2 linked regions of the Canis lupus familiaris genome follow. The protein of the gene in region 1 interacts with the protein of each later gene in a pairwise test. Links are inferred from orthologs where the notes say so. Each region holds a gene or a part of one and is shown in the gene's direction. Other genes may lie near its edges.

Region 1 (4,138 bases):
GAAAGAACGCTGGTGGTCTGTTGACAGTGCCTATATAACAACAGACAAGACAGCTTTGAAATTCAATGTACCAGTTTCAACTGCAAGAACACATTCCTCCTTGAGTTTTAATGTATTCTATTAAAGATGGTAAAAGACTGGGAAGTACTAAAACAGGCACACAGGACTTAGTAGTACAAGGGCAACAGAAACCAAACAGTCGGGTTTCCAGTGTGTGCAAGGAGTGGTTATTGACAACTGGTGTGGTGATGCTTAGAGAGTCACAGTCAGCATAACTGGGGAGGGGCTCTCTGGGGCATCCAGGTCAGTCCCCTGATGGATGGGGAAGTGCAGGGAGGTGAGGTGGTAGTTCAGGGCTCAGCTCTTGGTCTCCCTGGTGGGTGGAGTAGGTGCCAGGGTTTTTGGGCCAACATTATTGATCCTACGATAAAAAGTATGCCTGAATATTAAGAAGTGCATTGACAAATATACATAGACTTTTAAAAACTCACAAGTGTGTTAAACACTAAGCCATACTTGAACACATGGTATAGTTCAAGGTCACATAAGGGGTTCTTGCAATTTTTTCTCTTTACATACTGTGTCGGCGTGCAAATTAACGGGTGAAACAGGCAAACCCTGTGGTCAGCAGCTAGTGTGCGCTGTGTAGGAATTTGAAATCATGGGTATGAGAGAGAGAAGCTAAATTCTTGATTTTCTTTTTCTTACACAGGTTTCAGCAAGCAGATGGTGGAAATCCTTAACAAACATAATATTCAGTTTAGCAGTTTTGATATCTTCTCAGATGAAGAAGTTCGCCAGGGCCTCAAAACCTATTCCAACTGGCCCACCTATCCCCAGCTCTACGTTTCTGGAGAGCTTATAGGAGGACTTGATATAATTAAGGTTAGAACTGAGAAGTCTGTATCTGGTAAAGCATTTTCATTTACAGCACACTTTTCTAAGTGCAGTAATGAATCTAGAGTGTAAATCCCTTAAGAATATTTGTATTTATGAATATGAACCTGGAATAGATCCAATTATTTCTGATGAGGTTGTTGATATTCTGTATTACTGTATGATTCTGGAGATTTCTGTTGTGAATGTTTTCTTAAACTTACACATGTGTTTATTTCAGGAGCTGGAAGCATCCGACGAACTAGATACAATTTGCCCTAAAGCTCCCAAATTAGAGGAAAGGTAAGTGTATTCAAAGTTTCAAATAGTCTGCCATTTATTACTTTAAGTATATCTCATAATTCTTGGTTTTTGCATTGCTTTTTCCATATAGAAGTCGGGGATTTGTTTTTGTATCTCAAGGTCATAAATAGGTTGTTTGCAGTCAGACTAGCCATGAAAACTTGGGAAGGTCTCATTTGCACTGGAGAAATTTTTACACCAAATTAAAGATTAGGTGGAGGATATTCTTCGTTATTTATAGAAATGTCATTGTGTCAGTGGAACAACTCAAGTTTACTTCTTTCTCTGTGTTTCGGAGCTGGGATCCAGTGGTCCTGGTCCTCAGGTTTCAGAAGCAGTCGCTGTTTGTGGCATCATCAGAGTACGGAGTGTGAGGGGTGCCTAGTGTGAGGAGTGCAGGCTATGTGTGTGTTACATGTGTAAACACTTCAGGGTTTCACGCTGTCTTTTTAACCATGATAACTTAGAATTCAAGGAGATTTTGGAGCTGTGAAATTGGTCTTTGTTTTATGAAGGATCTCAATCAGCTTTTAAAGATTTTGTCTTATGGAAATTTTGGACTTTGGCCTGTAGGGAGGCTTAAAGGGATTTTTATTGTAATAAATTTGAATTAATGTAGAGGTTTAAAGAATTTATTTTGAAATACATCAGCATATCAGCCATTCATAGTTGGGGCTTGAGTCTGTGAGGTGAAATTTCCTCTTGTAATTTTATCACCATTCAGCATTTTGAGAATCTCTTGAAGTGTTTAATAATAAATAGCTCATTTATTTATCCTTGATTAGTAAATAGTATCCCATATATGTCATACTGACTTGTAAGTTCCACATTTTCTCAAAAGATTTATATCCTTTCCTGCCTTTTTGATAGGACAGTGATGCTTCTAGTACCTTTGTTGACTCTAGGTCCCCAGTTGTGTTTTTTTAGGGTTGGGGGAGGGGTAGAGGGGAGAGGATCTCAAGCCCACTCCACACCCAGTGCAGAGCCTGATGCGGGGCTTGATTTTGTGACCCTGAGATCATGACCTGAGTGAGACCAAGAGTTGGATGCTCACTGACTGAGCCACCCAGGTGTGCCCCCAGTTGCATTCTTTGCTGTATAACCTGAGTGGCTTGTGGAAGTTGTATAGCCTCAGGAGTTCGCTGGGCTTTGTGTGTGCTTACATCTGCTTTCAATCCAGTTTTCTGTCTTGACTACACTTGCTGTTGTTTGTGTCTCTGTCTTCATCAGATCTCTCTTTTCCTAATGTGGTGTGTCTATTTCCTTGTGGCCTCAGACACCAAAGATAACTGGCTAGAGTTACAGAGAGATCTTGTAGAGAGATATATTCATTGTGTTTTGTGTAATCATTTAAAGTGCTGCCAGAGTGCATAGAGCCAGAGCTGGAGTTCCTGGGTCTGGCGATTGTCTCTGTGGGTGGGACAGAGGGACTTGTTTCGGTTTTCTGGGTCCAGATTGTTGGGTTACTTTAGGTGACTGATGACAATTAGCACCATATTCTTTTCTTTTTCTGAGAATCAACCCAGCGTACTCTCTCCAAAGTGGATGTGACATAGCTGTGAGCGTGAGTTGTGGGTTTCATTTGTGATAACTTTGTTCTCTGAGGAGGTGTTGAGCTGTGAGAGTGACCCACAACACCAGTGGGAGGAAGATGGGGTGACTGACCACCATGGGGCTCAGAGGGTCTTGGGTAGCCCGTGTCCCGATGGGGACTGTCCTGAGATGGGTGACTGAACTTCAGGCTATATGCAGATGCTCCTGACAGCAAGTTAGAGCACGGGGTTTGAAGGCTTGTAGAAAATGGGAAGCACAGAGTTAGTATGGGAGCAATTGATTTGAATAGCTGGTGTTGGTTGGTGTTCCAGCACTTGACAGTTCCCCTCCCGGCATGACCTCATGGATATCGGGGAGTGTGGAGCTGTGTGCGACCTCATGGTAAAGAAGGCAGCACACAAGATCTGGTTTTGGAAGTTGTGGGTGGGCTCTGTATACAGGCCCCTTCTTGAACAATTCCTTATTGAGTTGGTTATTATTATTTTTTTAGTGCTGTGAGTTGATGGGCTTGAATTGCAACTCAAAGGAACATTCGTTGCCTTAAAAGCCATATTGTGTTTTATGGTGGCTCAGGGAGAGAATGAAATAAAGGAAAATGTCAATGCATTTGCTTGTTTAATGCCACTCAGAGCTGTGAACTATCATCCTGCTATCCCTCAAATATGCATGTTACTCCTGAAGCGGAGCAAAAGTGGTGTTTAATAATTGAGCTGAGCCATTTTATATCAATTTTCTCTCTTTAGGCTCAAAGTACTGACAAATAAAGCTTCTGTGATGCTCTTTATGAAAGGAAACAAACAGGTAAAGAACTCAAAAATGGTTTTATTTGTAATTTCTTTTGATGTTAACATCTTCAACAAGGGGACACTTAAATCTTTCTTCCTAGCTGTGGCTAATGAAGCTGTGGTGGCATCAGGAAGTTATCCAGGCCTTAATTGGTGCTTATGGAGATCAAACAAAGTAATCTACATTTTGCTTGACTTTATCATCAACATCTCAGTGGGGTGCATTTCTTTCTGCTGCCAAACTTGGTCAACACTGTTCACTCTGTCCTGGTTCTGTTAGTTGCTATCCTGTCCCCATCCGACTGAGGCCGTGGGCTCGTGTAATGGGCAGTTTGGTCCCAATACTTCCCGAGTAGAGGGAGCCCCAGAGCTCTCAGGGTGCACAGCCTTAGATCATCCTTTAAGAAGTCAGCGATGGAGAAATACACCCCATGGCATCGTGTGTGTTCAGCATGAGTTTGATGAATGAGTAAAACAGTTTGGCAGTTCTTATTTATAATGAGATGGTTCCTGTAGCTTTTTGGATGATGGTACATATTGGTTGTGCATCATTTTGAGTAGCAGGTTTGATAAATCACTCCTACCAACAGTTTGAGCAAAACTGATGATCATTTGTATTT
Region 2 (4,590 bases), on another chromosome or scaffold:
CTAAATATTAGACATATCATAGAGCATGGTAAAATATTCAGTAATTCTATGAAAGATTATTCTATATTACTTACAATCTGAATTAACATAAACAATAATAAGGTCATATGTACCAATCAGAATAGCAAACATTTAGAATTGATCCTCAAGAAGTGAAGACATGTGATAAAACAAGTATTTCCATACTTTATTGACAGAAGAACAGAATGACGGGTTTTCTGTAGTGTATATACACATAAGGATATGTGCAAGGTTGATGACTGTAGCATAATTTGTAATTATAAAACAGGAAATAAACTGCACCCAGATGATTAGATCGAGACCATTCAGTATCAGAGGCAAGGGGATTTCTAAGATGCATCCTAAAGGAGAAAAGAACATGCCCCAGATAACAGTCTGCATGAAACAATCTTCTTTATGTAAAGAAACACTACGTACATGTGTGTATATATGTGTGTATATATAATGATATTTATTCAGCGCTTACTCCTTAGCAGGCATCACTCTAAACTTCTTGCATATTTTAACTTCTTCAATCCTCATAAAAATATTATGAGACGCATACTACTACTACCCTCACTTTACAGATTAAAAAAGAGGCACAGAGATAGTAATTTGCACAAAGTCACGGAGAATGAGAAGGGATTCAGATCTAAGAGGCAGGTTTCCCCCCTCCTTTTTACTTCTTTTCTCAATTTCATTTTCTATTGCTCTCCCTTCCCACCCCCTCTTCCTTCCTCCCGCCTACTTCCTCCCTTACTCTTCAAGTATCTGTTGCTAGGGTCATGGGAAGAAAAGGAGAGGAGAGCTGCCCAAGACGCCTTTCGCTTTATTTATCCATATTCAGCTTTATTGTTTGGAAGATCCTGTATTACTTTTGTAAATAAAACACTTTAAGGAAAAAAAAGAATCAATGAATCCTTCAGTTTAAGCAATATGAGTTCGTTTGTGTGTGTGTGTGTGTGTTTTTTTCCAATATGAGTTTATTGAGCCTGTTTGCCAGTGGCGGGGGTGGGGGTAGATGGCAGAAAAATTAAACACTCTAAACACATCTAGTCAGTTTGACTCTTAAAAGTTAGCAGCCTTGGGGACCCCTGGGGGGCTCAGCGGCTTAGCATGTGCCTTCAGCCCAGGGCCTGATCCTGGGGTCCCGGGATAGGGTCCCACGTTGGGGTCCCTGCAGGGAGCTTGCTTCCCCCTCTGCCTGTGTCTCTGCCTCTCTCTCTCTCTCTCTCTCTCGAATAAATAAAATCTTTTTTAAAAAAAAGTCAATGTGTAGTTCATAATAAATAAATAAATAATAAATAAATAAATAAATAAATAAATAATAAATAACTAGCTAGCTAGCTAGCGGCCTTTGGTGGAGAATGAGGGATGGGCGGAGAGAGGGAGAGACAGACACTGAGAGAGCCAGACGGACAGCGAGCCAGGACGGAGAGAGCTAAAGAGAAGAAGCCGCATGAAGAAAAGCGAGCTCGACCCCGGGCCGTTTGCACCCGCAGCGGCGCTGCAGGCTCCGGGCGGCGGAAGCTCCCGGGAGGCCCGCGCCCCCACCCCACCCCGGCGGCCCCGCCCCCTCCGTGACTCCCGGGGCCCGGCTGCCCCCGCCTCCCGGCGCCTCGCTGCCCGGGGCCCCGGAACAGACGTCAGGGCCCGCAGGGCGCAGGGGGCGCAGCGGGGCCAGCGGCGAGCGCGCGCTCGGGGCACCTGCAGGGGCGTGGACGCCGCCACCGGGAAACGAAACCGTCAGACCTCGGCGGCGCAAGGTCGCTCCGAGGTTCCGGGGCCTCGCCCTTGGCAGCATCCGGGCAGCATCCGCACGCGGCGGCCACAGGTGGGCGGGCGGCGGGCTCCCGGCCAGGCGCGCGGGGGGGGGGGGCGGGAGGGCTGTACCTGTGCGGGGCGCGCGGGCACAGGCTGGGGGCCGGGGTCCTGGCGGCGGCCACAGGTGGGCGGGCGGCGGGCTCCCCGCCAGGTGTGCGGGGGGGAAGGGGGCGGGGGCAGGGGGCGGTACCTGTGCGGGGCGCGCGGGCACAGGCTGGGGGCCGGGGTCTTGGAGCATCCGCACGCGGCGGCCACAGGTGGGCGGGCAGCGGGCTCCCAGCCAGGCGCGGGGTGGGGGGGGCTGTACCTGTGCGGGGCGCGCGGACACAGGCTGGGGGCCGGGGTCCTGGCGGCCCGGGGAGCGACCCCCGAGCAGCGACCCGCCTGCGGCACCCCCCCCGCCGGGCCCGCCCCAGGGCTCAGGTTTGCCCGCGCCCCGTGGGTGAACACCTGTCCGCGGCGCTGAGAGTCTGAGCTGCGGCTGCCGGCAGCGTGCGGGGGGTGCGGGGGGTGCGCGGGGGGTTAGAAGGGCGATTCGCAGGCCCCTCGGAGCTGTCATTTAACAGTGAGTATTCACTACTGGGAAGGCTGCCCCCCCCCCCAAACTGTGCGAGCCACCTGGAGCTCCGCGCGCGGGGGCAGGAGGGAGGCAGGTGCTTTACCGCCCACAGGGGGACCCTAGACCCGAGGCTCCCGAGTCCGTCCACCTGCCTGGGTGCACCCCCCGCCTCTGCTACTTAATTCCTGCGGACTCCGACCCGTTTCTTCATCTCTGGACCTTGCTGGCTCCATCTCTGAAATTGCGTCAAGGTCAAAAATGAGTTCCGAGAGTTAAGAGTAGGATACTTAACTAGTGTAAAAGCTGTTGTCGGAGCTGTGTCCCGCGCTGCAGAAAGTTCTCATTAGGGTTAGCTTTTGGTATTTTTTTTTTAAGATTTTATTTATTTATTCATGAGAGAGAGACAGACAGAAGCAGGCGCCCCGAAAGGAGCCCCATGCGGGTCTCGATCCCGGATCCCGGGGTCACGCCCTGAGCCGAAGGCAGACGCTCCACGCCTGAGCCACTCAGGTGTCCCGCTTTTAGTATTTTTAATAGTAAAGTCCCTGCTTCTCCGAGATTATTATCTGGCTCCCAGGTGGTTTTATTTAGACAGAGATTCCTGGAAGTGGTAAAATAGCTACTACCCAGCTCCAGGAACAGGCAGGTATTGTTTCTCCTGGTTTAGCAATTTGAGAAACAGGATTAGTACAAGTGTCACTTCCGTAGAGGAAATTGTCAAACGATTTATGATTCCCTTTATCATCCTTGAACTTTCTTAATAGCAGAACTTTCTCTTAATACCATGCTCGCGAGCAGGACAACTGCAGGGCTTTGAACACTGAATAAACGCAAGGAATGAAAATTAAGGAAAAGGGAAAATGAGTGGATTTCTGCAGCTGGATAGAAAAGGTGCATGTAAAATAAATAAGTGGCTGAATCTGAGACGAAGCAGCCTTCACATTTGTACGGGAGCTGTTCTTTATGGGAAAGGAGGGAAATAAAACCCTACACATCTTGTTCAGTCAGCAAGCACCAGTTAAGTGCCTTGTCCTGGACAAGATAGTCCATACTCTGGCCTTTGAGAACATAGAACGCAGGTAGAGAGAAACTACGTTAAAACTGTCCTACACTTCTCTATTCTTTTGTCTGATCTCTCCCCCCCCCCCCTTTTTCTTTTTCCTGTAATCCACAAACCTTTCATTTCCTTGAATTAGTCAATCTCCCTCTAGCCACAGGACTTGTGCCAGTTGCCTCTGCAATGCTTCACTTCCCCAACCCCCATCCATGGCCTAGTTGATTTTAGACAGCCTTTGGCTCTCAGATTCAAAGTAGGTCAGGGACAAAGAGTTCTGTCATTGTCTTTATTTGCTAAAATAATTCAGAACATATATCCACATCGTGGGCCTCAGAAAAATGTTAACTGATTTGTTGTTAAACAATTAAGAAGTAAACATGGATCGATGATTCAAATATAGGTTATGCCTGGTTTATAGGCATACTAGTCTTAGGAGCTATCAAAACTAGGGATGCTTCCTTTGGGCTCCAGATTGTACATTAATATTTTTCTGAAAGCAATAAGAGAAATTTCAGGACCCCCAAGAGATGGGTCAAGGATTTCACTGTAAGATGAGTTCTGGAACCATGATTGATGTCACCTGCATTATTTCTCTTCCCTGATGGAAGAGGTTTATAATTTTCAAAGAGCCCAGAGCAGCAATGGGTCTTATGGTATCTGATGGAATAATTTTACCAGAAATATACTTATATGAATATAGTATATGATGCACTAATCTCTCATTTAACTGAATTAGGAAGAAGGGTATAGGGCAGCCCGGGTGGCTCAGCAGTTTAGTGCCTTCAGCCCAGGGCGTGATCCTGGAGACTCAGGATCGAGTCCCATGTCAGGCTCCTTGCATGGAGCCTGCGTCTCCCTCTGCCTGTGTCTCTGCCTCCCTCTCTCTCTCTCTCTCTTTCTCTCTCTCATGAATAAATAAATAAAATCTTTTTTTTAAGAAAAAGAAGGGTATAGTATTCAGATTATAATTTGAATTTATACATTTGTCCTGAAGTAATTAAGATTCCAGTGGTACAATATATATGACTTCCTTAGATTTTTTTTTTCTTTTAGTACAGGATAAATATGATGTTCTTTTCCCTGGAAGTTTTTCTAGGACTTGTTTCTTATTAAAAGTCCTGGGGGCATTATTAAAAAGTTATACTAATTA

The links.
Region 2: the proteins of GLRX3 (region 1) and PLSCR1 interact in binary tests that used the Homo sapiens proteins (3 or more experiments, as listed by UniProt). The two-hybrid records come from large-scale screens. The link is inferred for Canis lupus familiaris from reciprocal best matches to the Homo sapiens genes GLRX3 and PLSCR1.

Annotation. Positions count from the first base shown.
Region 1 is NC_049249.1:39,110,532-39,114,669, forward strand, and holds part of GLRX3 (glutaredoxin-3), read left to right. Parts: intron 1-712; coding exon 713-885; intron 886-1,117; coding exon 1,118-1,179; intron 1,180-3,476; coding exon 3,477-3,534; intron 3,535-4,138. UniProt on the Homo sapiens protein: Together with BOLA2, acts as a cytosolic iron-sulfur (Fe-S) cluster assembly factor that facilitates [2Fe-2S] cluster insertion into a subset of cytosolic proteins.
Region 2 is NC_049244.1:42,190,560-42,195,149, reverse strand, and holds the start of PLSCR1 (phospholipid scramblase 1), read left to right. Parts: upstream 1-1,655; 5' UTR 1,656-1,834; intron 1,835-1,876; exon of another isoform or gene 1,877-1,948; intron 1,949-4,590. UniProt on the Homo sapiens protein: Catalyzes calcium-induced ATP-independent rapid bidirectional and non-specific movement of phospholipids (lipid scrambling or lipid flip-flop) between the inner and outer leaflet of the plasma membrane resulting in collapse of the phospholipid asymmetry which leads to phosphatidylserine externalization on the cell surface.